4 linked regions of the Lonchura striata genome follow. The protein of the gene in region 2 interacts with the protein of the main gene of each other region in a biochemical or structural test. Links are inferred from orthologs where the notes say so. Each region holds a gene or a part of one and is shown on either strand. Other genes may lie near its edges. The genes, in order: ATP2B4, ERBIN, MAPK12 and SCN4A.

The links.
Region 1: the proteins of ERBIN (region 2) and ATP2B4 interact in a test that uses a peptide from one of them, tested with the Homo sapiens proteins (2 studies listed by BioGRID and IntAct). The link is inferred for Lonchura striata from reciprocal best matches to the Homo sapiens genes ERBIN and ATP2B4.
Region 3: the proteins of ERBIN (region 2) and MAPK12 interact in a test that uses a peptide from one of them, tested with the Homo sapiens proteins (2 studies listed by BioGRID and IntAct). The link is inferred for Lonchura striata from reciprocal best matches to the Homo sapiens genes ERBIN and MAPK12.
Region 4: the proteins of ERBIN (region 2) and SCN4A interact in a test that uses a peptide from one of them, tested with the Homo sapiens proteins (2 studies listed by BioGRID and IntAct). The link is inferred for Lonchura striata from reciprocal best matches to the Homo sapiens genes ERBIN and SCN4A.

Annotation. Positions count from the first base shown.
Region 1 is NC_134632.1:2,837,503-2,844,370, reverse strand, and holds the start of ATP2B4 (plasma membrane calcium-transporting ATPase 4), read left to right. Parts: upstream 1-3,859; 5' UTR 3,860-4,008; intron 4,009-6,868. UniProt on the Homo sapiens protein: Calcium/calmodulin-regulated and magnesium-dependent enzyme that catalyzes the hydrolysis of ATP coupled with the transport of calcium out of the cell. By regulating sperm cell calcium homeostasis, may play a role in sperm motility.
Region 2 is NC_134642.1:27,979,490-27,986,552, forward strand, and holds the start of ERBIN (erbin), read right to left. Parts: upstream 3,007-7,063; 5' UTR 2,891-3,006; intron 2,694-2,890; exon of another isoform or gene 2,542-2,693; 5' UTR 2,461-2,541; intron 2,299-2,460; 5' UTR 2,045-2,298; intron 1-2,044. UniProt on the Homo sapiens protein: Acts as an adapter for the receptor ERBB2, in epithelia. By binding the unphosphorylated 'Tyr-1248' of receptor ERBB2, it may contribute to stabilize this unphosphorylated state.
Region 3 is NC_134607.1:30,007,326-30,014,968, reverse strand, and holds the start of MAPK12 (mitogen-activated protein kinase 12), read left to right. Parts: upstream 1-4,626; 5' UTR 4,627-4,713; coding exon 4,714-4,829; intron 4,830-5,991; coding exon 5,992-6,121; intron 6,122-7,643. UniProt on the Homo sapiens protein: Serine/threonine kinase which acts as an essential component of the MAP kinase signal transduction pathway.
Region 4 is NC_134627.1:1,945,067-1,952,264, forward strand, and holds the start of SCN4A (sodium channel protein type 4 subunit alpha), read left to right. Parts: upstream 1-4,198; 5' UTR 4,199-4,276; intron 4,277-7,198. UniProt on the Homo sapiens protein: Pore-forming subunit of Nav1.4, a voltage-gated sodium (Nav) channel that directly mediates the depolarizing phase of action potentials in excitable membranes.

The sequences.
Region 1 (6,868 bases), on a different chromosome or scaffold from region 2:
CCACCCAGGAATTCACCTGGGAATCCACCCAGGAATCCACCCAGGAATCCACCCAGGAATCCACCCAGGAATCCACCCAGGAATCCAACTGGAGATTCACCTGGGAATTCACTTGGGAATCCACCCAGGAATTCACTTGGGAATCCACCCAGAAATCCACCCAGGAATTCACACAAGAATCCACCAGGGAATCCATCCAGAAATCCACCCAGGAATTCACACAAGAATCCACCAGGGAATCCATCCAGAAACCCACCCAAGAATCCATCTGGGAATTCACCCAGGAATTCATCTGGGAATTCACTTGGGAATCCACCCAGGAATCCACACAAGAATCCACTTGGGAATCCACTTGGGAATCCACTTGGGAATCCATCTGGAAATACACCCAGGAATCCACCCAGGAATCCAACTGGGAATTCACCCAGGGATCCACCCAGGGATCCACCCTGGAATTCACCCCAAATCCAGCCTGTCCCTGCTGTCACCCCAAATCCGTCCTGTCCCATCTGTCACCCTATACCAGCCCGTCACCATCATCACCCCAAATCTGTCTGTCCCCATCATTACCCCAAATCCAGCCTGTCACCCCAAATCCAGCCTGTCACCCAAAATTCAGCCTGTCTCTTCTTTCAGCCTATACCATCCTGTCCCCAGTGCCACCCCAAATCCAGCCTGTCCCAGTGCGAGCAGCGTGGGGACACCTCTGTCACCTCCCCGGGGGTGGCCAAGCCACTGGGAGGAGCAGGTGAGTGGAGCAGGAGGGAAGCAGAGACCAACACAGAGGGTCCCAAAATATTCTGTGAAGGAATTTTTCCCATCTGCAGCTCGTGGGGACAGCTCGGTGCTGACTTGGAGGTGATACTCCTGCTCCTGCTCCTTCTCCTCCATGTTCTTCTCCTTAAACGTGGCCTGGAAGAAGCTCTGGGGCCGTTCATGCCTCTCAAAAATCACATTTCCCCACACGGATTTCGGGATTTTGGCTGCTCCCTCCCGCAGCCGCTACCCTGGGGTGGAAAACCTGTTTTTCCCCTTTTTAACCCAAACCCAATGCTGCAAATTCCCGGCAAATTCCTGCTCACACGGCTTCCCTGGGGCAGGAAGGCTGATTTCCTTCCAGGAGCCCAAATCCAGATGGTCAGAGATTCCTTCCAAGCTCCCAGAACCTGTTGGAAAAGGCCATTATGTCTCAATAGCAGCTCTGCATGGGAAGCCGTGCCTGCCAGCTGCTCCAACACCTCTTTTCCAAGCTGTTCTGTGAACCAGCCTGCTCAGGGCTGGCAGATTTTGGTGGAGGAATAAAAATCCCTGTGTTTATTCCCATTTTTTTGTGTGTGGCGGGCAAACGTGGAGTGAGTGAAAGGGGCCTGAGTTTGGTTTTTGAGTCTTTGTCATGAGAATGCCCAGCCCTGAAATATTTTATATTTTATTATCTATAAAGCTATAAATCTATAAACCTATAAATCTAGAAATATATACATATATACATATATACATATATACATATATACATATATACATATATACATAATAAATAAATAAATAAATTTATATATATGTTTTATTTTCAGTAGGAATAACCCTGGAAACTCCCAAGGAGCAATTGAGGAGGAATTCCAAACCCAGGGCATTTTCCTCTTCCCAAAGGTGGTTGCGAACAATGCCCAATCACTTGTTTTTTTTAAAATTTTAAAAGTTCGATAATAATAAAATGGTTATAAAAATAATAATACAATTAGAGGAATAAAGTTTAGAGTTAGGACAATACAAGACAATACAAAGCAAAGAATTATGGATGTTTGGGTGCTTTAAGTCATGAAAAGCATGACTTGTGAACAAAAGAATCATCCTTAAACCAATCCACTTGTTGCATATTCATATATCCTTCATGGTTATGCATATATTTTATTTAAAACAAACTCTGTCTGTTGTATGTCAGTTGTTTCCTTTAATCCCTGGGCGTCTTCGATCTGAGCAAGGCCTGAAGAAATTAAGCTTATTCTGATAAGAAGCCATAAATTCTTCTCTTTTAGAAGATTTTGGTGTTCCTTGAAGCGAGTATCTCATTCCTAAAAAAATAAAAAAACAACTTCCCCCACATACATAGTCTATATTTTAACATTAAGTTGTAACCTAAAAGTACATTTAACACACTACCGAAGAGAATTAGCACAGCATCACTTTCTAACATTACACACATAATATTCTTCGTGCCATTTGCGAAAAGCCAATCACAAAATCTGCATTTTTCACAGTCGTGCTCCAAAGGATGCGGAGATGGAATGAAATCCAACCCGGGCAGCTCTGATGTCGCTCGGGTGACTCCAAAAAAACATTCCCAGCTCCAAAAAAATCCCCTGGATCGGCTGGGCTGGGCGAGAAGGTCCATCCCGGAGAGCTGAGGGAGGAATTCTGCTGGAAAATGGGGTGGAAATGAATTCCCAGGGCTGGCAATGTGGAATTCCCGAGGTGCAGGCCCAAACCTCTTGGGATAGCTAATGAGGGGCTAATTAACGAGGGCTAATGAGGGGCTGTGGCCGCAGGGGTGTTGCACTGGTTAAACTGGAACAGCTGGAGCCCAAACTGGGATTTGGGAGGGGATTTTTGGAACCCCCTCGAAGCCCTGCATGGAATCCTTCCATGGGGAATTTTATCCGGGTTCCTTTAGGAAAAGGGGCGAGGGTGGGATTTGGGGTGGGGGGGTTGGGCGTGCTGGATCTCAAGGTGTCAGCACCCCCAAATTTGTGCTGCCTATGAGGGGACAGGGTGGGTCAGAGCCACCCCAAAAGTGCTAAAACCCCCCAAAAAACCCCAATTTTGTCCCAGGTCACAGAATTCCTTCTGCCACCTCCACGGCCGGAGTGGGGAGGGGGCTGGGCATGAGGGTGCCAGCGGTTTTTGGGGTGCCCACACTGCCCTGGGGGGTCCCCACAGGTTTTGGGGGTGCACACTCCAATCTGCTTTCAGGGTGGGGTCCCCACATTGCCCAGGGGTGTCCCCACTCTTCCCGGGGGTGCATCTGCCTCCCTGCCCAGCGTGTCCCCACCCTGCTTGGGGACCCCCATATCGCCCCGGGGTGTCCCCAACTCTTCCCAGGGGTGTCCCCACATCGCCCAGGGAGTGTGCCCAAATTTCCCAGTGGTGTCCCCACCCTTTTGGGGGTGCACCCACTGCCTTGTCCAGCGTGTCCCCACCCTGCCTGGGGAACCCCGTATTACCTGGGGGTGTCCCCACCCTGCTTGGGGACCCCGATATTACCCGGGGGTGTCCCCACATTGTCCGGGGAGGTCCCCACACTGCTTGGGGGTACCTGGGGTGGCACCTGGGGGTCCCCACATTGCCCATTGGGGTCCTCACATTGCTCGGGGGGTCCCCACATTACCTGGGGGTGTCCCCACCCTGCTTGGGGACCCCGATATTACCCGGGGGGGTCCCCACATTGCCCGGGGGAGTCTCCCCTCTTTCTGGGGGTGCATCTGCCACCCTGTCCAGCGTGTCCCCACCCTGCTTGGGGACCCCGATATTACCCGGGGGTGTCCCCACATTGCCCGGGGGAGTCTCCCCTCTTTCTGGGGGTGCATCTGCCACCCTGACCAGCGTGTCCCCACCGTGCTTGGGGGTCCCCGATATTACCCGGGGGTGCCCCCACCCTTTCCAGCCGTGCACCCCCCGCTCTGCCCGTGGGCTCCTGCCATGTTCGGGGTCCCCCACGCCGCTGTCCCCCCCTCGCTGGTCCCTTCACCCCGTTCCTGTCGCCGTCCCCCTTAAGCGGCCGTCGGGGCGTGCAGCCACCTTAAGGGAGCCCCTCCCCCGGCGGGCTGGGACGAGCCCTCCCCCTCCCTGCCCGCCGTCCCCTCCCTCGCCGGCCCGGCCCCGCACGGCCCCGCACGGCACGGGGGGTTGCCATGACAAGCATTTTCTCCCGTTAGCTCCGGGACCGCTCCCCCTCCAGCCCATGGCCAGTCGCGGGGGCTCCGCCGCCAGCCGGGCGCCGTGGGACCGGAGCCGGTGAGTGCAAGGGGTGGGGGGGACACGACCCCGAGAGCTTGGGGGTACGGGGGTCCCGCGGGGGGTTTGAGGTGTTGGGGACACGGCGGGGGGACGCACGGGAGTGGCGTGGGGTGGCTGCGGAGCGGGGGTCTGTGTCGGGGCCGGGGGTGGGAGCATCGCCGCCCCCGCCGTGGGGGCGGTGGGGCGCTGGCAGCGGGGGTTTCACCGCCCCGCTCCGTCCCGGTGCAGCAGGTGGGATGGGGGGGCTCGCCGTGGGTTCTACATCACGGGGGGGTCGGTGTGGGACCCCCCCCCAGACCCCAATCCCACGTGGGAGAAGGGTGGGGTGGTGGGGTGACCGCGGTCCGGCCGCTCCGGGGCGTGGGCGGCTGCGGGGAGTGCAGCCCCCAAATTTCTCGTGGGGGGGGTAACTCCGGCAGCCCCCCGGGTTTTGGGGTGGGGAGGATGCTCCGGTCGGATCCTACAACTTGTTGCCCGCCCTTGAGGTGGCTGTGTGTGTGCGGGGGGGAGGACGGTGCGGGGTTCCCGGTCGCGCGTGTTGCTGGATTTTTTGGGAGGCAGCGGGTTGTGGCATTGCGGGGAGGAGGAGGATGAGGATGATGGAGGAAGGAAGAGGCGGGGGAAGGGGAGGGGGGCTTGCGGCAGCCCAAGGACAGAGCGGGGAAGGTGCTGCGTGGGTGGGTTTGGGGTGGTTTTTTTCCCCCACGCGTGGGGCAGCAAAGGGGGCTGCTCCCTGCCTGGAGTGGGGTGACTCGGGTGGGGGGCGCGTGGGGAGGGTGGGATGCGGTGGGGAGGTGCGTGGGAGGGGAGGGGGGGTTTGCCCACGCCACGGCTGGGCACGTCTCCCTCCTGCCTGCACCAATCCAGCTGGGCAGAGCCACAGCAGAGAAAACAGGAGTGGGGAGGCGGAAAATAAATTAAAAAATAAATCAGGAAATCTATTGCAAGCTCGGCCAGGCTCTGGCCTCGTCCGCCTCCTCCTGCCTCTGTCCCCAGCGCTCTCGCTGCATCCCAGCCCGGCTCCGGAGCCTCCCAGCATCCCTGGCCTGGCTCGGTGGGTCCGTGTCCCCCGTGGGCTGCCGGCGGCGGGGGCGGGGGGGGCTGTGCGGAGCTGGGTGGTCCCTCCCCGCTTCGCCAGAGGCGAGTGGAGATGTTGGGAGGGGAGGAGGGACAATAGGTTATTGTGCTCTTATCTCTGGAGACCTGAGCTTGGGTGGGGGTTTGCATTGCGAAGCCCAAACCAGTGCAGCCAGTTTCTGCCCGTGGCCGTGGACTGGCAGCCCCGGACGTGGGTGGACGGGCAGGAGCCGAGGGCAGCGAGCCGGGGTGGAGGTGAGTGCTCGGAGCTCGCCATGGGGCACCCAGAGCCGTCCTGGGGCCGGGGGACCCCCGAGGTGAGCCCCCCATCCCAAACCCCTTGGGCTGCGTGGGCAAGGCAGGGGCTGCACCGCTGCCTGCGCCCTGCCTGCCTCCAGACATTGCCCTCAATCTTTCGCTTTTCCGAGCACTGAAACGCACCTAAATTATTCAATCATGAGCGAGCGAGGCTGACGCCCCCGCGCTCCGCCAGCCCCACCCCGCCGCGCCCCGGGGATCCCTCGCCGGCCCTGGGCTTCCCTCCCCGGCTGCCCCCTCGGGTGACCGCCCGGACCCCTCCGTGCGGCCAGGCTGGCGGCTCGGGGGGGCTGGAGGTGCCCTTCGGATCGGAGCGGCGGAGGACCCTTCCTCAAAGGTGGGCGCTGGGTGGGCTTGGAGGCCAAATTGTGAGTGCCCGAGGCCCGGCTGCATCGCCTGGGCTGGCGGATGGCCGCGGCACGGGGAAGGTGCCGGTGCCGGGATGGTGCGGCTGGAGCTGGGAGGAGGCAGCGCTTCCCCGTTCCGGCCCCGGCACCGCGCGTTCCCCGCGGGCTCCGGCCCCGGCCCGCCCTGGCCGCCGGCGGGGCCGTGGCTGCCGCTCCCCGTCCTACCTACCCCGGCTCCTTCCCGGCTGGAAAAGCGCTGAGAAGTGCTGCAGGTAGAGAGGTTTGAGAGGGCGCATTCTGTTGTTGGGTGTTGGTTTCTTTTCTCCTTCCTTTTTTTTTTTTTTTTTTTTGTATTTTTTTTTTTTTTTCCGCTGGCGATGATGACGGAGGGAATTCCCTGCGCTGCCGGCTCGCCGCTCGCGTGCCGTGGGTCCGCATCTCTTCCCGGGGGAATCTGCCGCTGTCACCCCAGCCTTGCGCCTCCGGAGCCGGGAGCCGCCGCGCCCGAGCCCCCGGGCAGGGCGGGGGCAGCCCAAGGGTGGCACGGCTCCTTGGGCAGGATGAGTAAGAGCAGCAGGGAGGGACGCCTGCTCCTCTCCACTATTGTTTAGCAGTCGAAAGCTCCGGGGTGGAGCTGAGCCTGGAGTTTCCCCTTGTCCCCAAGCCCTGCGAGGCGAGCCCGCTCCTTCCCCGCCGCCCCTCGCCGGGGCCGCGCGTTCCCCGCGCGTTCCCCGCTCCTCTCTCGGGTTATGTGTTTTCTTCTAGTTTTTTTTTTTTTTTTCTATTCCTGTTTCTCCTCCCTGCTAGGCCACGAGCGGAGTTTTCCCGCAGGGTTGGAGCCTGCGGGGAATTTGGGGACCCAAATCTCTGCGGTGCCGGGGGGGACTCGCAGCCGCCACCCGCTCGCTGCTGCTGCTCCCCGAGCACGGCCCGGCCGAGGGCTGGGCCGGGCTGGGCTGGCAGCTCCGGCTTCCTCCTCGCCCAGGGCTCCTCCCCGCCGGGCACGGCTGCGCCCTGCTGGGAAAGGAGCCGGAAAACCTGCGGGGAGAGCCCGGGCATCCCGCTGGGTCCGGGAGAGCCCGGGCAGGGACAGCGAGACCCGGCGGGGAGACACG
Region 2 (7,063 bases):
GGCTTTCCTTAGCTTTGATCTTCCAAGCATGGCTCTTAATGACTACGAGTAAAGACTCTCAACAAATTCCGCCAAGAACAAATCATAACACAGTTTTCTGAGACCACCGACTTAATATATTAAGAAACTGTCCTTTAGTATTTTCTCCACAGAGCCCCCTTATCCATTCTATATGAACATGATGTGCAAATTGATACCCTACAGAGCTTTATGCTTACACTAAGTATTATCAACTGTGCAGCTTATGCATAAGACAAATCTATTCATATTTTACTAATATAATTATCATCTTAATGATAATCGCATTCCATAGTATGCCATATACTGCAAATTCTATCTCTTTGATTGCAAGCATTCCTTCCTAAAATTACTGATGTTTACTCAAGCTTAATTTAATTCATGAATAAGAACCGGTCAGGTCAAAAGAACATTTCCCCAAGCCATCAACGCATAGCTATAAAAGTGCTGTTTCAAGCACATGAGCTACTATGTGTAAGGTTAAATAATTTTGTTCATAATAAGAATATCAATGTCAGACTGATTTTTAGTTGCGATCATTGACCTCAAGAAAGAACACATCCCTTCATGTTACTCCCAAATTATGTTAATGCCATAATGGCATTCAATGATATAAGCGTGAGCTGTAAGCAGAACTGAATCACACTTTCGTCATTAAAAAGGGCCTTATCCATAGCTACCATGGTGACAAAACACTAGCGTAAGAAGTTGTGCCTCCACTACAAGGAACCATTCTTCTACACAGCATTGAAAAATATCAAGTGCATCATGAGAGACACAAAAGGCCTGAAAAGAAACAAAATTGCCTTGATTATGAACATACTGGTTTACAACTAAATTTGTCATGCACTGCTACAACTCCTCACCCTCCCCTCAAGAATCTCAAGTCATTATTGGGACTGAAACACTGCTCTAGAAAGGGATGGTTCTTTGTAAAAGGATTACTCTATTCAGACTTTCTGCCAAGCATCAGCCACATAAGGAAAGCAAAGTTCACTGCCACTTATTTTGTCCAGATCTTTCTGATGCCTAAGAATAACCCTTACTGCTGCCTGGAAAGGTAAGTCTATAAATTGCAAGTCAAATAATTTATTAGTTATCAACCACTGAACCCACTTTAGACATTTATATGTTAACATTTTTTCTTACACTATACCAACCAGAAGGAGTTGGATTATTTTTTCTTAAAGCACTAAATTACTCACAATGTTAAAGAACGATACTCCTACCTATGTAGGAGTGTTAAAAATTTTGCACAGAAATTACTTTGTCCAAGACTCCCAAATACCAGTACATGTCACACATTGGCAAGACTGAAGCATACACATCCTATCTGACCAACATGTTGCTTCTGAGTTTGACAAACAGAAACAAACGTTCCAGAGCTACGGTTTCTACCTTGTTCTAAACATTCACAATATGAGAAACTCCTTGCCTCCACGAAAGAACTAACCTATAATTGTCGCTTTGATGCATGAAAAATAAACGTGCATCTAGTTAGTTGGTATAACAAGCACTAGAGGTACAAAATCTTACACTAAAACTTCGCATTTAATTTCCTCTTCAACAGCTTCAAAAATTAGTTCTTTCAAAAATTAGAAAGGTGAAAGTGGTCACCAAAATCAACAAGGCTACATTAACAGCTCCAATTGCATGCATTTTAAAGAAGTCAGACAACTAGCTATCTGCTTTGGTTTTGTTCTGTATTTTGTTTTAAATGAAGGTCCTTAAGATGAACTTTGCCAGGATCAAAATGCAGGATAGACCTCCACTGCACAAACTGAAAAATAAGCAGTCCAACTCGTCGATTTGAGAACAGAAAGGGTAAAGGGGAAGAAGACGGGTGACTGCAGCAATCGAAGGTGGAAAAACTGCGACATTTACGGATGACCAGGAGGGCGTATTTTTATAAAGAAACTCAACAGCAACCCTGAAGAAGTCCGGCCAGCCACTAACCGATATTCTAGAAAACAACTCAGACATAAGCACGAAGCATCAAGAGCTTTCGATTAAAAAGAAATATTACCTCCTTCATGACTTTCTCATTTCCCGATAACTTAATTGTACTCGCAGGGTTACCAAACGTTTTGCAAGGGAGGGAGCTGAAGAAGCAGTTACGCAGTCGAGCAGTTTCAGCTCAGTGCCTTCTCGGACCGAACAAAGAAACTTCTGTGTCCGATGAGATTAAAAACTTTCGGTCTCACACTCTTTCCCGGCCTCCATGAAACCAGCGCCTCGGTTCACACGTTCAGGCGAGACGGTGAGAAACACAATGAGCAGCTAACAGGGCAGGCCAAGGCGGAAAACAGAGACAAAATATAAAGGCCAAAAACAGGATATAAAACGAAGCCTGAACTCCTTGCTTTTTTCTCCACCCCCTTCCCAGAGGAAGGATTTTTCTGTTGTTTTTGTTGCTGCTGATCCCAAGCCTTCCCTATTTACCTTAGGTGTCGGGGCGCCGAAACCAGATCCAGGAGGCAGGAGTTTCTTCCGACCCCAAGTTAAATCCAATCGAGTTTCCTTCTTCACGGAGAAAGAGGGCAGAGAACGGGGAGAGGAGGAGAAGGAATATTAGCAGCTTTCGCCGAGGACGAGGGAGTTCGTGCGCACGGGGAGAGGGCTCCAGAGCAGCCGGGCTCCTCCCGCCCCGCCGGTCTCCCCGCGGCCGGCCCCACGTCGCGCCGGCCCCGCCCGGCGGCGACACCGCAGCGCCCCCACCGCCCGGCGCGGCCCGGCGCGGCCCGGCGCGGCCGCCGCCCCTCGCCGCCATGGGCGCCGCCGCTCGCCGCCGGCTGCGCGCCCGGGATCGCGCTGCCCGAGCGCGGCCGCCACCGCCGAGGGCTGAAGGGAAGCGGGATGGCGCCTGCCTCACCTGCCCGCCGCCGCCCGCGCTCCCCGCCTTCTCTCGCACACTTCCCCCTTCTCCCGCGGCTTCAGCCTCCCGCCCCCCTCCCCGGCCTCGGCAGCGGGGGGCCGGGGGAGGCGGCGGAGCTGTGGGAAGAGGGAATGAACGTCCCGGGCAGACACGCGGCGGGGGGAAGGGGAGGTGGCCGCGGGCGAAGCCGCCGCGCCGCTGCTGCTGCCGGCGCCGCGCAGCGCTGGCCAGACGGGGGAGGCACTGCCGCGGCACGGGGGGCGGGGCGGGCGCGGAGCCGGGCCGAGACCTGGCGGGGGCGGGAGCGGGAGCGGGACCGGGCGGGAGCGGGAGCGGCGGGCGCGCCCGCGCTGCTGTGGCGGGCGGGAGGAGGGACGGGCGGACCGCGCCGGGCTGGGGAAGGCCGTGAGGGACGGGCGCTGCGGCCAATGGGGCCCGCGGGGCGGGCTGCGCAGGAACGCGGCGGGGCGGGGGCGGGCGGCAGCGGCGCCGGGCGGGGGCTGCGTTTCGCCGCCGCGGAATGGCTCCACCCGCTGCTGCCCGGTGTGGGGCCTGTCCCAGTGTGGTTTTGCGGCAGAGCGTCAGTCGCACTGACAAATTCACACCTGAGTGACGGAAGTTTCCTCGTTAGCAGCTCAGCTCCGTAATTTAATGGTTGCACACCCTCTGCAGAAAGCGCTGAGGCGCCGGCTCACGCCATCAGGCGCTGGCCATTGCCCCTTCGTGGCCACCCGACCCCTGCCCCCGCACCTTGTGCTGCCTGACTCGCAGCTACCGAGATCTGAGAGAACGAACACACCCAAGGGAAACACTGACGGCCTCCACCCACGCTTTGGTGTTTGGGTATGGTACGTTAAACTTGGATACAAACAACAACAATTAAAATAATGCCGCCCATATTGTCACAATGTTTCACGTAAACCCTGGAACACTGCTGTACTTTTTCTTCCAAATATTTCAACACTGTCAGTACGTTACAACGGTACTGAAAATGCGTGTTGACTGACAAGAGTCATGTTTGAAAAGCAGGCAGTACACAGATCACACGGCTTTGGTATTGGTTGGGTTTGGATTGCAGTAGTACAGGTGTGATCTGAACAGAAGCAGTGAGTTTCTTTTTAATTTCCTGGATTGTTCGAAATGGGTATTTGATAACCTATTGTGTATGCAATATGCCATTTTAAGTGTCCTGGAGCCTGGAGTTCTGTTCAGCCATAACAGAGCACATGAAGCTGACAGCAGGGTGGAATTGTGCATGCTGCTCACCTTATGCTCCTTAATTGTGCTCAGCAGAGACCAAATCTGAGGAGAGGGGTAGTTTTGTTTTCACACTAATTTAATCCCTGGCTACTCTACTGGGACTGCCACCAACTAAGATGGAGTAGTGTTTTATGATGATAATCGGTTTACTGAGAAATTGGCAAAATGCTAAGAAGTGTTATATGAGCCATTGAACAGCAAGGGAAATGCTTTGTCATGTTACTATTGACCTGTCCCTGATTTTAACATAGGACTAGATGAGAAAAGTCCTTTACACCCCTACCAGTCCTTGACAGTAACTCAAATTGATACTTCCTGTTCAGGATCGTTCTTTGCTTCATCTATTTTCTTACAGGGTTTTGAATGAAGGGTTTAACCTTTAGCAACAAAACATAAAGATGATCACATTTTTATGAAAGTCCACTGTGTTTAAGACATTGTGTTCAACAATAGTTATTAATTTTAAACTTCTTGCCTATATATGGGAATTGTACGTTCAAGTATCCAGCTTGTATCCAGATCCAAAAAATAAGCATGCATTCCTACTATGATAATAATACTCACTTACCGTTTCTTTACTTTTCTCCACCTTCACAGAGCATACAGCCCTACTTTGGGGACTACATCTCTGCCTAAATTTAAATAATTAAACTAAATCAAATGTAGTCATCAGAGTTTATAAAAAAGAGAATTGTATGTGTATATATAGATATTTTCCAAAACATTAAATCGCTTCTATTTCTTCTTGTTCAGAAAAGCCATTTTCTTCAAATGAGTCAGCTTTGGACTAAGTCCAAGCAAGAGAACTTTACCCCCACTGACAACAGATTTAGAATTTCTCACTACAGTGCCCTGCAGTGGTACCCTACATTGTGTCTATAATAAAACTATTAATTTTTTAAATCTCTTGCAAATGATTGATCATTCCTGTCATGCACCACATAACATATCCTTACCATAATGTGACTAGCTCTCTGCAACTGATGCCCTCCATCATGAACTCTTCAAGGTACTTTCTTATGTGAATTATCACAACTTTTTAATGTGAAAATATTTTTTGGAAGTGTTTATTGCAAATTGCCCAGTGCATTTATTAATTCAGTAGAATAATAGATAGGTATGAGAATAGTAGCTGTTGCTCAGATGGTGAATCTCCCATAGGTGTTAACATTAGTTGCAATGTAAGATGCTGTTTCACTTACAGTTTTAGCCATCAAAATAAAAGCCTTTCCAAAGTCTGCTGAAACTACAGCTAGCTGGAGCACAGCTACTGAAGATATTTTGCATAGACAAGATATAACTATATGTACAAATTAAGAAAATACCAGGAGTTATCCTAGGGATCTAAATGTGCTATAAATATCAAAACAGAGTCCCCAGCAATATTAATTCCCACAGTTGGTATCCCAGTTACCAAATAATTACAGAGTAGGTGCACAAAGTTACAAAATGAGTCTTTCAAGTGAGACTCTGCATCTGATCCCACTGAACATTTAAACAACTCCTGTATACACACTTTCATGCTGGACATGAAGCCCAAACTCCTCTCATTTTAATTTCTATTTTTATATTTGAAAGGAGCACTAGTAAATACTGCAACAACTTGCAGCTAAATCAAAAGAACATTTGGTGAAACAGTCACCTGTATGTTTCTCTCTCAGGAGTTAAGTGGTCTGAACAATTACTACATAGTTTCTTCTGAGTGACAGGGTTTAATTGCTGCTTTCCCCTATTCTTACTACTGTTGTTCATTATGATTGCATGTTTCCACTTTTCTAGGAAATAGATTGAAAGGCCTCTGGGGTAAGCACTTCTGCTTATTAAATGCTCAGGTAATGACTTGAATGGTGGATTTCAAATCGATTTGAAGTGGAACTTCTGGGCATGACTGCAATACAAATATTAAATAATAATTAGTGGAAGTAATAACCACATTAAAGACACGAAGAGGCAATAAGTAATTCTTTTTCTTTAACAAGTATATATTGAAGTTTATTTTAAATATTCCATAATTTAAATTTGCCAAAATATCTTACTGTAGCATTTTCTGAATTTACGTGGTTCACAGCTGGATGACACCACATTTATGCTGGTGAAATTAACACAAAACTGGTATAATTCAGTGGCAATTAAGTCTTAGAAGTGTATTGCTATAACTTCTACATACATAATGCATTTTTACTATATTTAAAGAGAAGCTAAGTAAACAACTTCTGTTCAGTCTAACTTCACTACAATCCCAAATGTGCACTGGCTAAATACACCATACAAATAAGTTTTTTTCTGTATTTGGTTGCTTTGTTTCTCAAACAGTATAATCAAAGTGATGAATTATTATGCAAGTACCAATAGAAAACCTTGGTAACACCACAACCTATGTTTTTTATGCTGTGTTCTAGAAATTATTAGGAACATTTTAGAATTATTTTTAAGCATTATACTGTTACTTTTTGCTTGTTTTTATCTTCCTTGGTTAGCATGGGAGAGCTGGTGATTTCTGAGGAACATTTGGGACATAGAGGAGCATTTCATGTGAAGGAGCAAGGACAAAAAGGTGGTGTTAAGGTACTTCTACGCTTTCCTGATTTGGACTGCTTTGCTCCTGCCCAGTCTGTTAACACTGATTTTAAGCTATGCTGTAGCCTCTTAGCCTAAGGGTCTGTTTTGACAGCTGATGCCACCACATAAATCTTGTGCTGGTGAAAACAAAGAGAAAGGAATGAAAATGAAGCCATACTATGTGAGAACACTGGCATCTGTAGATCATAGCCAAAAATTCTTTGCTGACTAGTTTAAGACAAAGAGTTACAGATGAAGTTGGCAGAAAGAGCCAACTGCAAAGTTGCCTAAAATAAATCATGTTCTCAGTATGTTGCCTATGCACTGATGGTAGTTTTGGACTACCTTTGC
Region 3 (7,643 bases), on a different chromosome or scaffold from region 2:
TAGGTAATCAATACTGATATATGAAAATAAATACGTCAATATCAATAGCTAGAGTCATAATTTAGACAGCACTGTGGCAGAATTCTAGGTTGTGCTCTTGGCGTTTGTTTTTTTTTTGACGTGGTATACCAGATGAAAGCAAGAGGGAAGGAGGGTCAGGATCCTGTGCTGCAGGATCTGACACAGCAAGCTCACCCTAAGGGTCAGGAGGGAAACAACCCTTTCAAGGACAAAATGTTGGCAGCAAAAGAAACTTTGACAGAGGTGGGAAGCAGTCAATACAAAAGTTACTTCCTTCCTTTCTTCCTGTCACATGTGCTCCTGGATCATAACAAGAAAACAGACCTCCACTTTACCCACCTTTGGGACCTGATCAAAGATGAATCTGTCCAAAAAGTACCATACAGAGCTGCCAGCACAAATTAGTATCCTTTGCTACATCTGTAAATTACTGACTTGGCCCAAGAATCCCTGACAGATGAGCAGTGTTAAAGATTTCGCCCTCATGAAAAGAGAATTGTGTTGTCGATTGAGTAAACGATGTCTTTTGTTAGCAGCAGAAAGGGATTCAACCTTGACAAGATCAGTCTCCCTAGGAAAGAATTAATAGCAACACTTCCATTTGCTTTAAGAGCAGCTGCTTTTTTCTCACACATTGCTGCTACTGCTGATAGTGTTTATGGATGCGAACGCTGGTTCTTAGAAAATCAGCACACTAGCACAAGTGAGAGTACCAAGGCTCATTAATCTATGACTCTGGGTAAGGGGTTTTAAGGCACTAGTACCAAGAGATTTAGAAAGCTACATTAGTGTTGCTGCCACTGCCCTTCTTTCTGCTGTAAAATAAAATATTGAACTGATACACCTAAAAGGGTCTAAGTTTTCACTACAGTGACAGAATATATCGTGAGCTTTCTGAACACTGATCTTCCAACCAATCTGAGACTTAATCCATTAGACCAGAAATTTCAATTTTGCTCAATTTCAATGAGCAAAACTCTTCAATTAGGCTTCAATCTTGCATACATACAAATGCTTCATTTTGCACTCCCATAGTCCCCCAGCTCCAATTATTGTCACATATTAAATGAGTAAAGCTATCTATCAGTGATATCCATTAATGCTCTTTTCATACGATTTTTGCATTGAGGTTGGGAAATTCTTTAAGTTTTTTTTTTTTTTTACTCTGTAGACTATAGCGTCTCATACTGCAACAATCTGTGACAGTTTAAAAATTAAAATCCTTCTGTTGTAGGAGAGGACCTTTTGGTGGATTCTGAGGAGGAAAAGGAGAGCATTAAAAGTAGTTGATTTTCATATAGGTGTCTACTACCCTCTACAATTGGCCTCTCTTCCTCCACCAACCTCCAAGAAGCAGGGATAATGGGGTAGTATATAGTTACTAGTAAGGTCTCACTTGACCTCTTGAAAAAATGTAATGTATACTTCTAATTATTTTTTAAAATAAAAAAGCACTTAGGTGTATATATTTATTTACTCCTTTCTTCTGATGGCTTAGTGACCTTGAAACATGGCAAGGCCCCCAGGAAGGCTACATGTTACAGAACTGGAACTGAAACACCCTGCTCATTGAGCAGAGAGACAAAATCAGAAAAGTTGCAAAATAGTTGGCAGTGACTCCAGTGGGGAAGGGTGGGGACAAAATAGCACAAGAATATTTTCCTATTAAAACTGAGATTTTTTTTAATTACTATTTTTTAAACTTTACTTCCTGTTGTAATAAATAGAATTAACTTACTTCCTCCATGGCAACAGATCTAAGTAGACAAGCACAGAGTATTTTTTGAAGGTGGGCATATAGAAAACTTTTTTTAAAAAATAATGTTCTAGGAATCAGCTTTTGACTATTCAGCAAGATTTTGTTTATTGACATTTAAGGTATGTTTTACACAGCCAAATTATTAATATGTGAATTAGTGTATCAAGAATAAAATGATCATATGAAAGACAGACATATAAACAGGCAGAAAGGTGGGAAGATGTTTGATTCTTCAAAGGATTTTGTATGATCTCTTTTCCTGCACGTTATCAGTGCCTGGTCTGGAGATCAGTGTCAGTCCCCTCTCCCTGCACCCAGGGCCCAGCAGCTCACCCACAGTTCAGCTCCTGACAAACAGGTCTGTGCCATTTTGTCATCTCCCAGTGACAGCTTATGGTGGCAGCTTTGCCATCAAACTCTCTCACCAGACTTCATAAATGTAGGATTTCTCAGAAAAACTATTCGATTTCTCACTATTTGCTTGTAGAGCTTCTGCTCCAGCACCAGGCTGGAGGGAAATTGTGCTCTCAGTTCCCAGAGTGATTAGAAAAAGTACTGTACCCATCCCATCTACCTCATATGCTTTGCAGCTGATGGCAACCATCCAGCACATCAAAAGCTGACTCTTAAAAAAACCCCACCACATTCTGATACATCTTAAATCTTCCCTTTATAGGATGAACATTAGCAAAGTGCAATTTTTGCACCATTAATGCATTTATTATTTTTTGTTAATGATGTCTGAAGAAGTTCCTTTTTTCTATTAACTTTACAATAAATGTATGCCAGAAGTAGAAACATCTGATAGCACTCTTTTTTAAATCCATCCTGTCAAGCACACATTGCCCAGAATAAGATATGGCTGTAGCATCTATCAGTCCCCTGGCAACAAATTGTCTTTGGGAAAACACGTCACCACGTATCCAGCTGAGCCTAGCAGGATGCAGAGACTCATGCAGTTTGTGACACTGCTCTAACATCTACCAGCTGTGGATGGACCCAAGTTCTTGACTTATTCCTTTCACAGAGATTTTGAATGGTTTATTAGACAAAGCTTCCCTTGTTACAACAGTGCTGATTTCATAGTCTTTTCAGTAAATTTACCAGCTCATCTCCTGTATGTGTGACCTGGTGGGAAAGCTGGTCTTATATTTGACCTACACAGCTACTTCATCCATCTGTAGCAAAGTATGCCTACATATTTACTGAAGGAAAAACATGGGAAAACCAGAAGTGGATAACTTTGTCCATTTAGAATGTTTTTTAAAAGTTGCTCTGTAATATTCTTAGCTTCTGCACAAGAGTGAACTTCTCTTGATGCTAAGTTAGTACTTTTATCTACTGTATCAAAATAACCTAATTTCTGCCTTGATAAAAAGCAAGCAGTAAAAAAGTACCACTTTGTCACAACTAGATCAAGGAAAAGTAGGTGAGGGATGACAAGCAAAACTAATCCTGCCTCTATTAGAAACATATAAAATGGTAATTAAAAGTAATTTAACTAATGGTCTAGTTTGAAAAAAGAGGAAGCTACTTTATCCTTCACCTTACCTGTACCACATATCACACCAGCTAACATCGGAATGGCAAACAGCATAGAAGGGATGTAACAAATTAAAAAATAATCTCCTGGATTTTTAAAAGTAAATATCTACCATTGATCTAACACTTCTCACAAAGCCTCATGTTAACTGCTAAATGTCAGAGGGTTGCTCTCCTTTCTCACTAACACAGAGATTCGAACAGGTCAGCAGAGAGCAGCACTGGAACACCTGGCAGCTGGAAGGCTCTGCTCTTCTGTACCCCGGGAGGAGCAAGGGCAGGGCAGCTCTTCCACATTTGGTAGTCAGGCACCAAAAGGGCAGGGCCCCTGGCAACTACCAAAATGGCCATGAAACTTGTCCAGATTGCCCCTTTAGAGCTAAACCACAAATTGAACTCCAGTGACAGCAAATCTGAAATTATATAACCTCAGCAACATTGCTCAGGGGTGAAGTAAAAAAAAAAAACCAAAGGCTTTACCAGACACTGGAGGACAAGAATTTTAATCATATTCACACAGAGAACACATAAAACCTATTTTAAACCTGGTCTTTGCCTTACACGTGTTGCTGGCCCAGGCCTGTTTACTACAGAGCCACTGAGAAGGTTGCTCTTGTCCATACTCCAACACTGCAATAATTTCAAGCCAGTGCTGCAACAGTTCAATTCCAGTTCACTTCATCCATGCGCAGGACCACTTGCTCTGAGCACCTGAACCAAGCGCGTGGTTTTTATTTAACTATATGAAATATTGTTGTAACTTGTAGTGTCATTCTGGGATGGTCTGGGAACCTATCAGTTCGTCTCAGGGCAGAGGCTATCCAAAAGCTCACTTTTGGTACTCCCAGCGATGGCACCTCACCGGAACCTGAGCACAAAGGCAAAACAAGGCAGGCGTGAGGGGGCCCCGTGGCGGGGAAGAGCCGGCCGGGAGGGGTTTGGTCCGCACGGGCAGCGAGAGCCCCGGCACCTGCCCCCGTGTGCGGGCTCGCTCCGCCGCCGCCGGGACGCCGCGCCCTGCGCGCCCCGCGGAGCGCAGCCCCAGGCGGCCGGGCAGCAGGGATGCAGGGCGCTGCCGGCGGGCGCGGATCCCAGCGCCGGTCCCGGGGCAGCGGCGGATCCCAGCGCCGGTCCCGGGTCAGCGGCGGATCCCAGCGCCGGTCCCGGGGCAGCCGCGGATCCCAGCGCCGGTCCCGGGGCAGCCGCGGATCCCAGCGCCGGTCCCGGGCAGCGGCGGCGGCGGGCGGTGCCGCCGGCGGGGCGCGGCGGGGCGGGCGGTGCCGCTCGCTCAGGCCCGGCCCCTCGGCGCAGCCCAGCTCGGCGGCGCCGCCGCTCCCGCTCCCCCGGCCCGGGCTCTTTGTCGGCGCGGGCCGGCGGGGGTCGGCAGCGCCATGTCCTCCCCCAAGAATGGCTTCTACCGGCAGGAGATCACCAAGACCCTCTGGGAAGTGCGGGACCGCTACCGGGACCTGCAGCCGGTGGGGTCCGGCGCCTACGGAGCCGTGTGGTGAGCGGGGCTGCGGGGACAGCCCGGGGGCGGGGGCGGCGGCCTCAGTCCCGGCCCGGGGATGCTACCGGGGCCGGCCCTCTGGCGTGTTGGTCCCTGCCAACTTTTCCCGTTTGTTGTCCGGACCCGGGCTGGCCCCGCGGGTGCAAGGGCGGCCCCGCTGTTCACCTGGCCGCCTCGGGCCGGGCTGTTCCGCCAGGGGGAGCCGAGCCGCGGGTGTTCCGTCCCTCGAGGGAGCGGAGCCCGAGCGCTGCCCCGGCCCCGGCCCGGGAGCGCTGCCCCCGCCCCGGCCCCGGGAGCGCTGCCCCGGCCCCGGGAGCGCTGCCCCGGGAGCGCTGCCCCGGCCCCGGGAGCGCTGCCCCGGGAGCGCTGCCCCGGCCCCGGGAGCGCTGCCCCGGGAGCGCTGCCCCGGCCCCGGGAGCGCTGCCCCGGGAGCGCTGCCCCGGCCCCGGCCCCGGCCCCGGGAGCGCTGCCCCCGCCCCGGCCCCGGGAGCGCTGCCCCGGGAGCGCTGCCCCGGCCCCGGGAGCGCTGCCCCGGGAGCGCTGCCCCGGCCCCGGGAGCGCTGCCCCGGCCCCGGGAGCGCTGCCCCGGGAGCGCTGCCCCGGCCCCGGCCCCGGCCCCGGGAGCGCTGCCCCCGCCCCGGCCCCGGGAGCGCTGCCCCCGCCCCGGCCCCGGGAGCGCTGCCCCGGCCCCGGGAGCGCTGCCCCGGCCCCGGGAGCGCTGCCCCGGCCCCGGGAGCGCTGCCCCGGCCGCGCTGCCGAGCCCAGCTCGCGGCACCCCGGAGCGGCTCCCTGGAGCCCGAGGTGTTTTAGCGCTTGAGGCGGGCCCCTCAAACGCAGTTTGGCTCTGCGTTGGTGGTGGGTTTGTGTGTTTAGTGGGATCTTTTTGTCTTGTTTCTCGTTTGGGAATTTTCCCCCACTCCGCAGATGTTCCTCTTTAAAGCTTTTGATAATTGTCTACATTTCATCACAGGATCTGGCAGGCTTTTAAACGATGGCTGCCTGCAGAGGTGCTCTGGGGACCCGGTCTCCCCGCTGGCGCGGGCGGCTGCGGGCCCGAGGCCCGGCAGGATGCAGCCGCTGCCCGGTGCTGGCCGCGTCTGCTGGGGTTTGCAGACAGGCTTCGGTCCTTGCTCACCGAACTCTATCTTTTCCCTTAAAGCTCAGCCGTCGATGGAAGAAGTGGTACCAAAGTGGCTATTAAGAAATTGTACCGCCCGTTTCAGTCTGAACTCTTTGCCAAACGAGCATACCGAGAACTGCGTCTCCTGAAACACATGAAACATGAAAACGTGAGTTGAGTCATTAGCTCAAAACCACAGCTTAGACACTCTAAATCAAAGAAAATATGTATATTTGGACAGGGCAGATGTGTACCTGAATGGAATTAAGGAATCTTTTAGCCTGTTTTTTTTGTCTGCCTGTTCTACAAATATCACTTCACACAAACTAGAATATCCTGTGCGAAACACCACTTAATTTCCACGTAGGAAAAATTGGGTGGGGAAGGTTAGGACTACAGTGCAATTTGCTCAGTGCTAGTGAGAGGGATTAAAGACCAGAAATTACAGTCTCTATCTTTTTTCTTTTTTTTTTTTGTTCCCCTGAGCTTTCATGAAGATGTACACATGCATATCTCTGAGGCGGGGTTAGCATTTTTCTCCTTTTTTATTTCTTTTTTTCTCCCTTTTTATCGTTTATGAAGCATTTGAAACTTTCAGGCTGATATTAATGGGAAACAGGAAAAGTCCACAAGTGGCTAAACAAATTGCTTTACTGTGAAACAGAGAATAGGTAATAGAATTCTGCACATAATTCCCATATAACATGAAAGAACAGCTGTAGAAAGAAATGTTGAAAGTGTGATTGAGAGAAAGATTCATGGTCCCAATACTGCTTAAGAGTTAGGAAAAAAATAAAGAAGTTTGTGCAAAAGCAGTTGTTACAGAGTCTCAAAGCATGGATTCCAGGTGAGAAGAGTCCCAGGGTGGATTTGGAGGGTTACCATAGTATTTTTAAGTGCTTTTCATGAAGAATGCATAGGATAAAAAACTCTTTATTTGTTTGGAGGGAATTGTTAAAATGATGCATAAGAACATAGTTTAAAATGTTAATTGATGTGGAAGATTAGAGAATACCTCCATTCAGAGTGCCTTCACAAAAAACTGAGAGATCAAAAGCATGAGAGAAAATGGTAATAACAATAACTAGACATTGCTATTTAATTTTATAATACTAATATTGTGAGTACCAACTAGGTTCTTTTGAAGAATAATTTGTAGGCTATCCTGACAGTCCAGAAGGCAAAAGAGCTTTTTGTAGGCTTAAGAAACTGTCTACTTGTTTTAATCTAAATCTTTTTATCTAAATACTTCAAAGTAACTGTCCCATAACCTCTACTCCATATGTTTAAGAGTTAATGTTTGCAGGAAACTTCTGTGTATGGGCTTTAATACTCTCAGCGTTTTCTTTACTGAACATTTGGGAGCAGAGCAGCCTGCACAGTTGCCAAGCTCCTGTGTCCAGAATTTTGAGATTATTTTTCTTCCATTTCCCAGAATAATCTGTTGGGTAGCATTTTCCACTCCTAACAGGTTTTGTACAGTGTATGCCCTGTGGAATAATACTCTAGAACTTCCCTGTGGGCTCAATTGGTAATTAAAGTGTCCTGAAGAAAATGCTCACTGGGGAACCGGAGCACAATGTGTACAAGTTACAAATCAATATATATGAAGGAAAGGAATGATTTACAATCTTAGGAAACACTGTGGGCCACAGAAAGAAGAGGTTTGTGTACTAAAGAAAGGTTTTAAC
Region 4 (7,198 bases), on a different chromosome or scaffold from region 2:
GGATCTCCAGAGATCCCATGGGAGGGCACTGAGAGGAAACAGAGCCCCAGAGCTGATTTAAGGTGAGATGGGAGATATATATTCCAATAAAAACCCTTCCAGAGCCAGTACATCCTGAATGATGAGGAACCCTCCAGAGGAGCTCAGGAACTGTTAAATAAATCCCTGTCTGCAGCCAGGAAGGGACCAGAGGTGAATAGAATCCCTCTCCATCATCAGTGAGGATGGGATGATTGCAGGGATGAGACAGGAGCAGATTGAGCAGGATTGAGGATGCTCAGTGGGAACACCTATTTTCAGAAAACTTTGAAAAACTCTGGAATTGCACTTCCATTTGCAGATGGCGTTTTGAGGTGATAAATGACCCCAAATGACCCTCTGGGGTTTGCTGGGCTTTGAACCCCATGGGACTTTGAGGCCCCTTCAGGACAGGAGGGGACTGGGAATCACCCTCAGCCTGCAGGAAAGGTTTTCCAAAGGCTCCCAGCACGGACTCCACCCTGCAGCTGCTAAAGATCGTGGAAAGGGATCTTAAAGTGTTGAAACAGACCTTAAAGCTCATGGCAGGGAAACCTCCCGCTGTCCCAGGCTGCTCCAAGCCCCCTCCAACCTGGCCTTGGGCACTTCCAGGGCTCCAGGGGCACCACAGCTGCTCTGGGTATCCTGTGCCAGGGCCTGCCCACCCTCGCAGGTGTTACAGTGAGCTCATGGACACTCTGTGCCCCCTTCCCCGGGACCCTGCGACTCTGATCAAGATAATCCTGGACCCCTCCTTTCTGCCCCAACGGGGTTGGCGGAGAGCCAGGGAAGCCCACCCTGTCCAAAGTCTATATAGACCCCAGACATTTCCTGTTCATCCTCTTTTGCCCCGCTCTCCCCTTGGACACCACAGAATAAAGAGAGCTGAACCAACATATCAGGGGTAAGAGCCTCTTTTGGAAATCTTTGTCATGTCCTGATATTCCTCCCCTCACAGCCTCGGACCTCTGGGCTAGCCTGATTATTTAGGGGGCTGTGTGAGGGGGAGAACGTAACGCAAGGAGGAATTTCTTCCGAAGACCGTCACCTTCTCAGGGATTTTTTCCACCCTGGACGATCCTGAGGCTGTGTTCGGGGGTTCTGGCTCTAATACCCGCATCCTGCCCCAGCACGGCCGCAGTGCCGCAGCCTGGCACGCCGCTCGCCCCGGTGTCCCCGCGGTGCCGCGTGTCCCCGCAGGCCCGGGCGCTGTCCGGGCACGGGGAGTTTAGCCCGGAGCCGGAGGGTGGCACTGCGGCCCCGCGGCAGCGGCGCGGGCAGCGCTGGAGCGCGGCGAGCCCGCGGGGCGCAGCGGGGCGACCGCGGCCACGGCCCGGCTCCGAGAGCCCCAGCCAGTGAGGAAAGGGTCACCCTGCTCGGGGCATAGAGCCGGGACAGCCCGGCAGCCCGGGCAGGTGCGGGTTAACCCGCGGCGGGGCGGGAGCGGGCCGAGCTGGGGCGCGGTGCCTGGGGCTGCTGCCCGTGCCCGCCTTCCCCGACCTCCGGACCTGCCAGGACGCCCTGCCTGGCACAGAGGGTGCCCTGGGCTTCCATCCGCTCCTTCATCCCGCCCCGGGATGCTCCCGGCTCTGCAGCTCGGGGAACTGGCCCTGCCCGGGTCTCCCCTTCCCCTGCCTGCGTAGGGACCGGCAGAGCCCCGGGGACACGGCAGGGACACCGCTGGCAGGAACTGGGGACAAGGGATGGAGGGACAGGACCCAGGCAATGGCTCCCACTGCCAGAGGGCAGGGATGGGTGGGAGATTGGGCAGGAATTGTTCCCTGGGAGGGTAGGCAGGCCCTGGCACAGGTGCCCAGAGCAGCTGTGCTGCCCCTGGATCCCTGGCAGTGCCCAAGGCCAATTTGGACAGGGCTGGGAGCAGCCTGGGACAGTGGAAAGTGTCCCTGCCATGGCGGGGGTGGGGGTGGGTGGTTTAAGGTCAGTCCCACTCCAAACCATTCCCTGATTCTGTGATCCTGTGGTGGATCCAGCACCACAAGCCAGGGCACCTCAGATGTCCAAAGCTGGACTAAGCATGGCCCTAATTCCACCCTGGAAACCCAAGGACACGTTTTTCCACCCTGATCAGTGTGGTCAGTACCTCTCGGTGCCCCAAGCTCCCATTCCCATTGGAATTTCCTCGGTTTTGCAGGCAGAACTGTGCCCATGTGCCCCGCTGGGGACCCTTGGTGTCTCCACATCGCACGGGGCAAGAGACACATCCAGGGTTTCCAGACTCACTCCAGGCCTGCTCATGGTCTGGGAGAAGCAAAAATGGACCTGTGCAGCTTGAAAAGTCTCTCTGTGGGTGACAAGGTTGGGCTTGGGGCAGCTGCTGGGAGCCACCAAACATCCCCTGAATTCCCCGCTGTGACCAACAGAGCAAATGGAAAGTCCCCACAGGCACAGCAGGAGGGTGTCCCTGTCCCTGCTGTCCCCACCAGCCAAACCCACTGACCCTGGGATGCACAGGGAATGCTCTGTGGCCCTGGATCATGGCTTTTGTTCTGCTGCTCAGCCCCCAGTGGGCTCCTGTTGGATTAAGTCTTTTTCTGAGTTGAGAGGAGTTTTAAAATCTTTTATTCTATTTTCAGTCTCTTGTGAATAGAGGTCAGAAGCTAACTGTCCACAGGCTCCCAGTGCCAGCCACGCCTGTAGCCACCCCTGGGAGCTGCTCTGGGCTCTTCCTTCCCTCCTCCTGCACCAGTTTTCCCTGGAGAGCTGAAACAGCTCCGGCTCTGCCTCATTCCCACAGCCTTGCACAGGACAGGAAAATCGTGGAGTCAGAAGCAGAACCAGTCCAAGGACCTTCACTTCCCAGCTCCCTGGTCAGGGCTGCAGGCCTGGCCATGGATGTGCTGATTGTGGAGGGTGCTGGAGGGGACAGGGGTGAGGGGCTGGGCAGGAAGGGGATTCCCATGGCATTCCAGGCTGGCAAAGTCAGGGGCTGCAGCTCCACTGAAGCCACCCAAACACCTGGAAGTTTCTCCAGGGTGTTTTGGGACTGGAAAAGCAGAAATTAATCACAGGAACAGTGGGTTTGGGGAGGTGATGAACCCCTCTGACCAGGCTGAGTGCTGGGGTGGCTGCTCCACCCCCAGCACAGCCCTGAGCACCCCAAAAGGGGTGACCCTGCAAGCTGAGTGCCCCTACACCCTCTCCTCCAGGCCCTGGGGGCACACCGGGCACCCCACGGACCCCAGAAGTGCCTGGGCTTGGCAGAAGAACCCAAAGACCCCATGAGGAAGCACAAAGAGGGGACAACCCCACTCAGGCAAATCCCTGTTTCTGCGTCACCCCGGTTGTGGCTCACGGGGTCCCCGTGGGCAGGACACGCGAGGGACATCCCCATCGGATGCTCCTGGGATGTTCTGGTGCAACAGGGTGCGAGGAGGGGACAAAAAAGTTACAGACACTCCTGGTTTGCCAGCAAGGGGAGGAGCGTGGCCGCTCCTGGGCTCTGAACAATGGGAACGACGCTCCCGGAGAGCCCCGGGCTCGGGCACAGCGCTGGCAGCGGCCTTGGCGCCGGCTGCCCCCCCGCCCTCGCAGTTGTCCCGCTGCTCTTTCCAGCGCCTGTCACTGCCGGGGAGGCGCTGGCCAGGGTCGCTCCCACCTCCCCCGCCGCTCCCCGGTCCCTTCGGCTGCCGAAGCGGGCGCGGAGCCGCCGCGCACCTGGGGCCGATGGGGCCGGAGGGGCCGGAGGGGCCGGAGGGGCCGGAGGAGCCGAGCCGGTGGGGCCGGAGGGGCCGGAGGGGCCGGAGGGGCCGGAGGGGCCGGAGGGGCCGATGGGGCCGGAGGGGCCGATGGGGCCGGAGGGGCCGATGGGGCCGGAGGAGCCGGAGGGGCCGATGGGGCCGGAGGGGCCGGAGGGGCCGATGGGGCCGGAGGAGCCGGAGGGGCCGATGGGGCCGGAGGGGCCGGAGGGGCCGATGGGGCCGGAGGGGCCGGAGGGGCCGATGGGGCCGGAGGAGCCGGAGGGGCCGGAGGGGCCGATGGGGCCGGAGGAGCCGGAGGAGCCGCGGCCGCCCCGGCCCCGCCGCCAGCCTGACTGGCGCGGCGCGGAGCGAGCGCCGCGGCCGAGACGGGCCGGGCTACCTGAAGGACCCCGCGTGTCCTCAGGTTTCACTCATGACCATCTGACAGCCGCGGCAGCTGCTCTGCCAACTCGCCGAGCCAAAGCCTCCAGGAGTCGAAGGAGAGGGAGGTTCTGGCCCTAAAAAGTCTCTCCTTGGGACTTCACACTCTCCACCCAACAGTGAGTACTGGGGTCAGCCCTGGGCTGCTGCCAGGCCGCCGGGCAGGGCTGCGGGGTCCGGGATGTGCCCGGCTTTGTCGCTGTCACCGTGCCCGGAGCGGTACCGGCAATGTCCCGGGATTTACGGTCCGAGCGCTGGAGGCGGGCGGGCCCAGGATGGACTCTGCTGGCTCTGGGGGGTGTTCAGGGCTGGAGGCACCTGCTGGACCCCCCTGCATGGAAAACTGTCCGGGACAGGGGACAAAGTCCCCACGAAGGTGCAGGCAGGGCACGGGGAGAGGGTGGCAGCAGCCAGCGGGGCCCTCAGTGGCCGCAGGGCTGTGTCGGGATGAGCGGGGACAGCCAGGGACGTGGCGGGCAGTGGGCTCCCGAGCCACCTTCCCCGTCACAGTGAAGGAGCCACGGGCAGAGCTCACAAGTCGCAAGGCTCTTTTCTCCTGGCTTCTCCTCCTGGAGGTCTAAATATAAACCCCGGCCTGGGCAAGCCAAGGTTGCAGGAAAGGTCTGCGAGTGCTCCCAGTGTCTCCTTTCGGGAGCAGCCCTGTCCCCGCAGAGCCCCCGTGCTCCGTGGGGCGGCAGGGGGGACCCGAGGGCAGAGGGGGCGGTGGGACCCCTGTGCCGTGGGGCAACATCGGGGTGGGGTGGCAGGGAAGGGGAGGCTGTCCCCACACTGGGGCTGTGGGCACACGGGCACAGCAAAAGGGTGCCAGGATGAGCCCAGGGTGGTGTTCAGAGCTGGATCCTCCATGGCAATCAGGCAGTGCCAGGCTGGGGTTCAGCTCGGGGTTTTGGGTGCTGTATCCCCCCTGTGCCAGCTCCCATCACCCGCTGCATGGGCAGGGCCCGCTCTGCACGCCCAGAGCCCTTTTGGGGCTTGTCCAGGGGCAGTCAGCCCCCATTCCCCCTTCCCCCACCCCCCATCCCCCATTCCCCATTCCCCATCCCTGCAGAGGGAAGTTTGCCGAGGAGCAGAAACATTTCCTGCCCTGCCCTCAGGGCACTCACTGATGGAGCTGTCAGGGATCAGCTCGCAGCAGAGGAGGGATGGAACTGCCGCTGCCAGCTAGGGACAACAATTCCACAAAGCCCTGGGGACAGCAGGACATCCCAGTCAGTCCTATTGTCCCGGGGAGACCCTGGATGGGTTGATGCAGCGCTGGAGCTGCCCCCTCTGGTTCTTTCCAGGAAAAATATTGGATTTATAATGGTTTGAGGGGGAAAGAGCATATTTACAGGAAGGGGTTAATGAACACAAAGTCTTGCCTTGACTCTGCTGTGCTAATATTTAAATAGCGTTTTGTATTTTCTGACATGCACAAAAGGGTCCAGTCCAGTTCAGCATTTTGCCTGGCTCTGTGGAGTCGCTTGGGCAGCTCCAGCTCAGCTCAGGGAAATTTACTGGATTTGGTGTAGGAGAATGAGTGGCCGAGCCATGAGGAGACGCCCAGCACCGTTTCTGTTTGCAGCAGGTTGGATTAATGAGGTGGATTCTGTGCAGGGCAGAAAGGGGAGAAGGTGGTGGAGGCTTTGGGAACTTGTGAGGGGAAAGATCCCAGTTTGGCTCAGGAGAGAGCAGGGAGGATGCTCAGCCTCCGTGCCTGTGCCTGTCCTGCTGTCTCCCTCCTGGGATCCATAAAATCCTGAGAACCTCTCATCTTTGGGTCTCCTTCTCAATTTCCAGGTGGATTTGAATGAGATCCCTCGGGCTGTGGGGCTCAGCTCTGTGACAGCTCCAAGTGCCCCGTGCTGGTCCTGCTTTGCAGGTGTCTGCTCCAGGGAATTGGCATCCAGAGGCTGCAAAGGGAAACGGGGCATCTTCCAGCCCTGGGAAGTTGCAGGGCTCCCAGTATTGCCAACCCCATGGGAGCAGCAGGTCTGGGACCTGCTCCTGGTGCTGTGCTGGGGATCCCTGCAGGAGCTGCTGTCTCTCCTGGCATCCCCCAGGGGTGGGGGCATCCCCCCGAGCCTGGGGGACAACAGGTCACTGCAGCCCCACGCCACTCTCCCTTCCCCCTCACTGTCCCCTCGCTGCCTTTCTGGCACGGCTCAGATCTTTTCCAAGCCTGACACGGGAGCTGCTGGCAGGGAGGAGCTGCAACTCTGGATGACACCCGAGTGCAGGGTGGGCAGTGGGCAAGAGCAGGGTCCCCACTTTAACCCTTCCCTGGCTGCTCAAGCCTCCAGCACTGCCAACTCCCCCCAAAATAACCCCGAGCCGCCACCCAGTTGTGGCGTGTGTGGGTGTCCCCTTTCCAGCAATGCCCTGTCCCGCAGCAGGGACAGCAGGAGTGGGGTTGGGGTGGCATCCCCGGCTCCAGGCAGGAACGGGTCAGTGCGTGGCTGCAGGATGGTGCAACCTCCTATTTCCATCTGTGGCCGGGGAGATCATCCCAGGATTTCACAGCTCCTGGGCTGTGTGTGCCGCCCCCACTGAGCACAGCAGGTACAGCCTCGGGGCACCGAGCCCCAGGAGCTGCAGGGCAGCAGCGATCCGGGAACCGCGGGGCATTCATTCCCACGGGTTTGATGCTGCTGCAGGAGCGGAGGTGCCTCTGCAGAGCTGGATTTTTGGAGCTGATGCCCCTGGAGGAGCCGTGCCCCCTTGGAAGTTCAGCACGGAGGATTTGGCTTTCCAAAGGAAGGCAGAGCCGTGATGGGCTCAGCTGAGCCTCTGAAAGGAGCCGGAGGAGGGAGCAGCTCCGTTTGTGGCAGGTGCAGAGCCCCCGGAGCAGTGCAGAGCCCACGGAAGGTGCTGCTGGAACGGGACACAATTCCAGTGGAACTGTGCATCCATCCTGCTCCACGGAAATCCCCAGTGCCAGCACAGCTGCGGGGTGTCCTTGTCCCGGTGCACACCAGGCTGCAGAGGTTTGGCTGCCAGGAAAAGGCTGGAGAGTGTGGAGGGCTCCTCTCTGCTCAAGA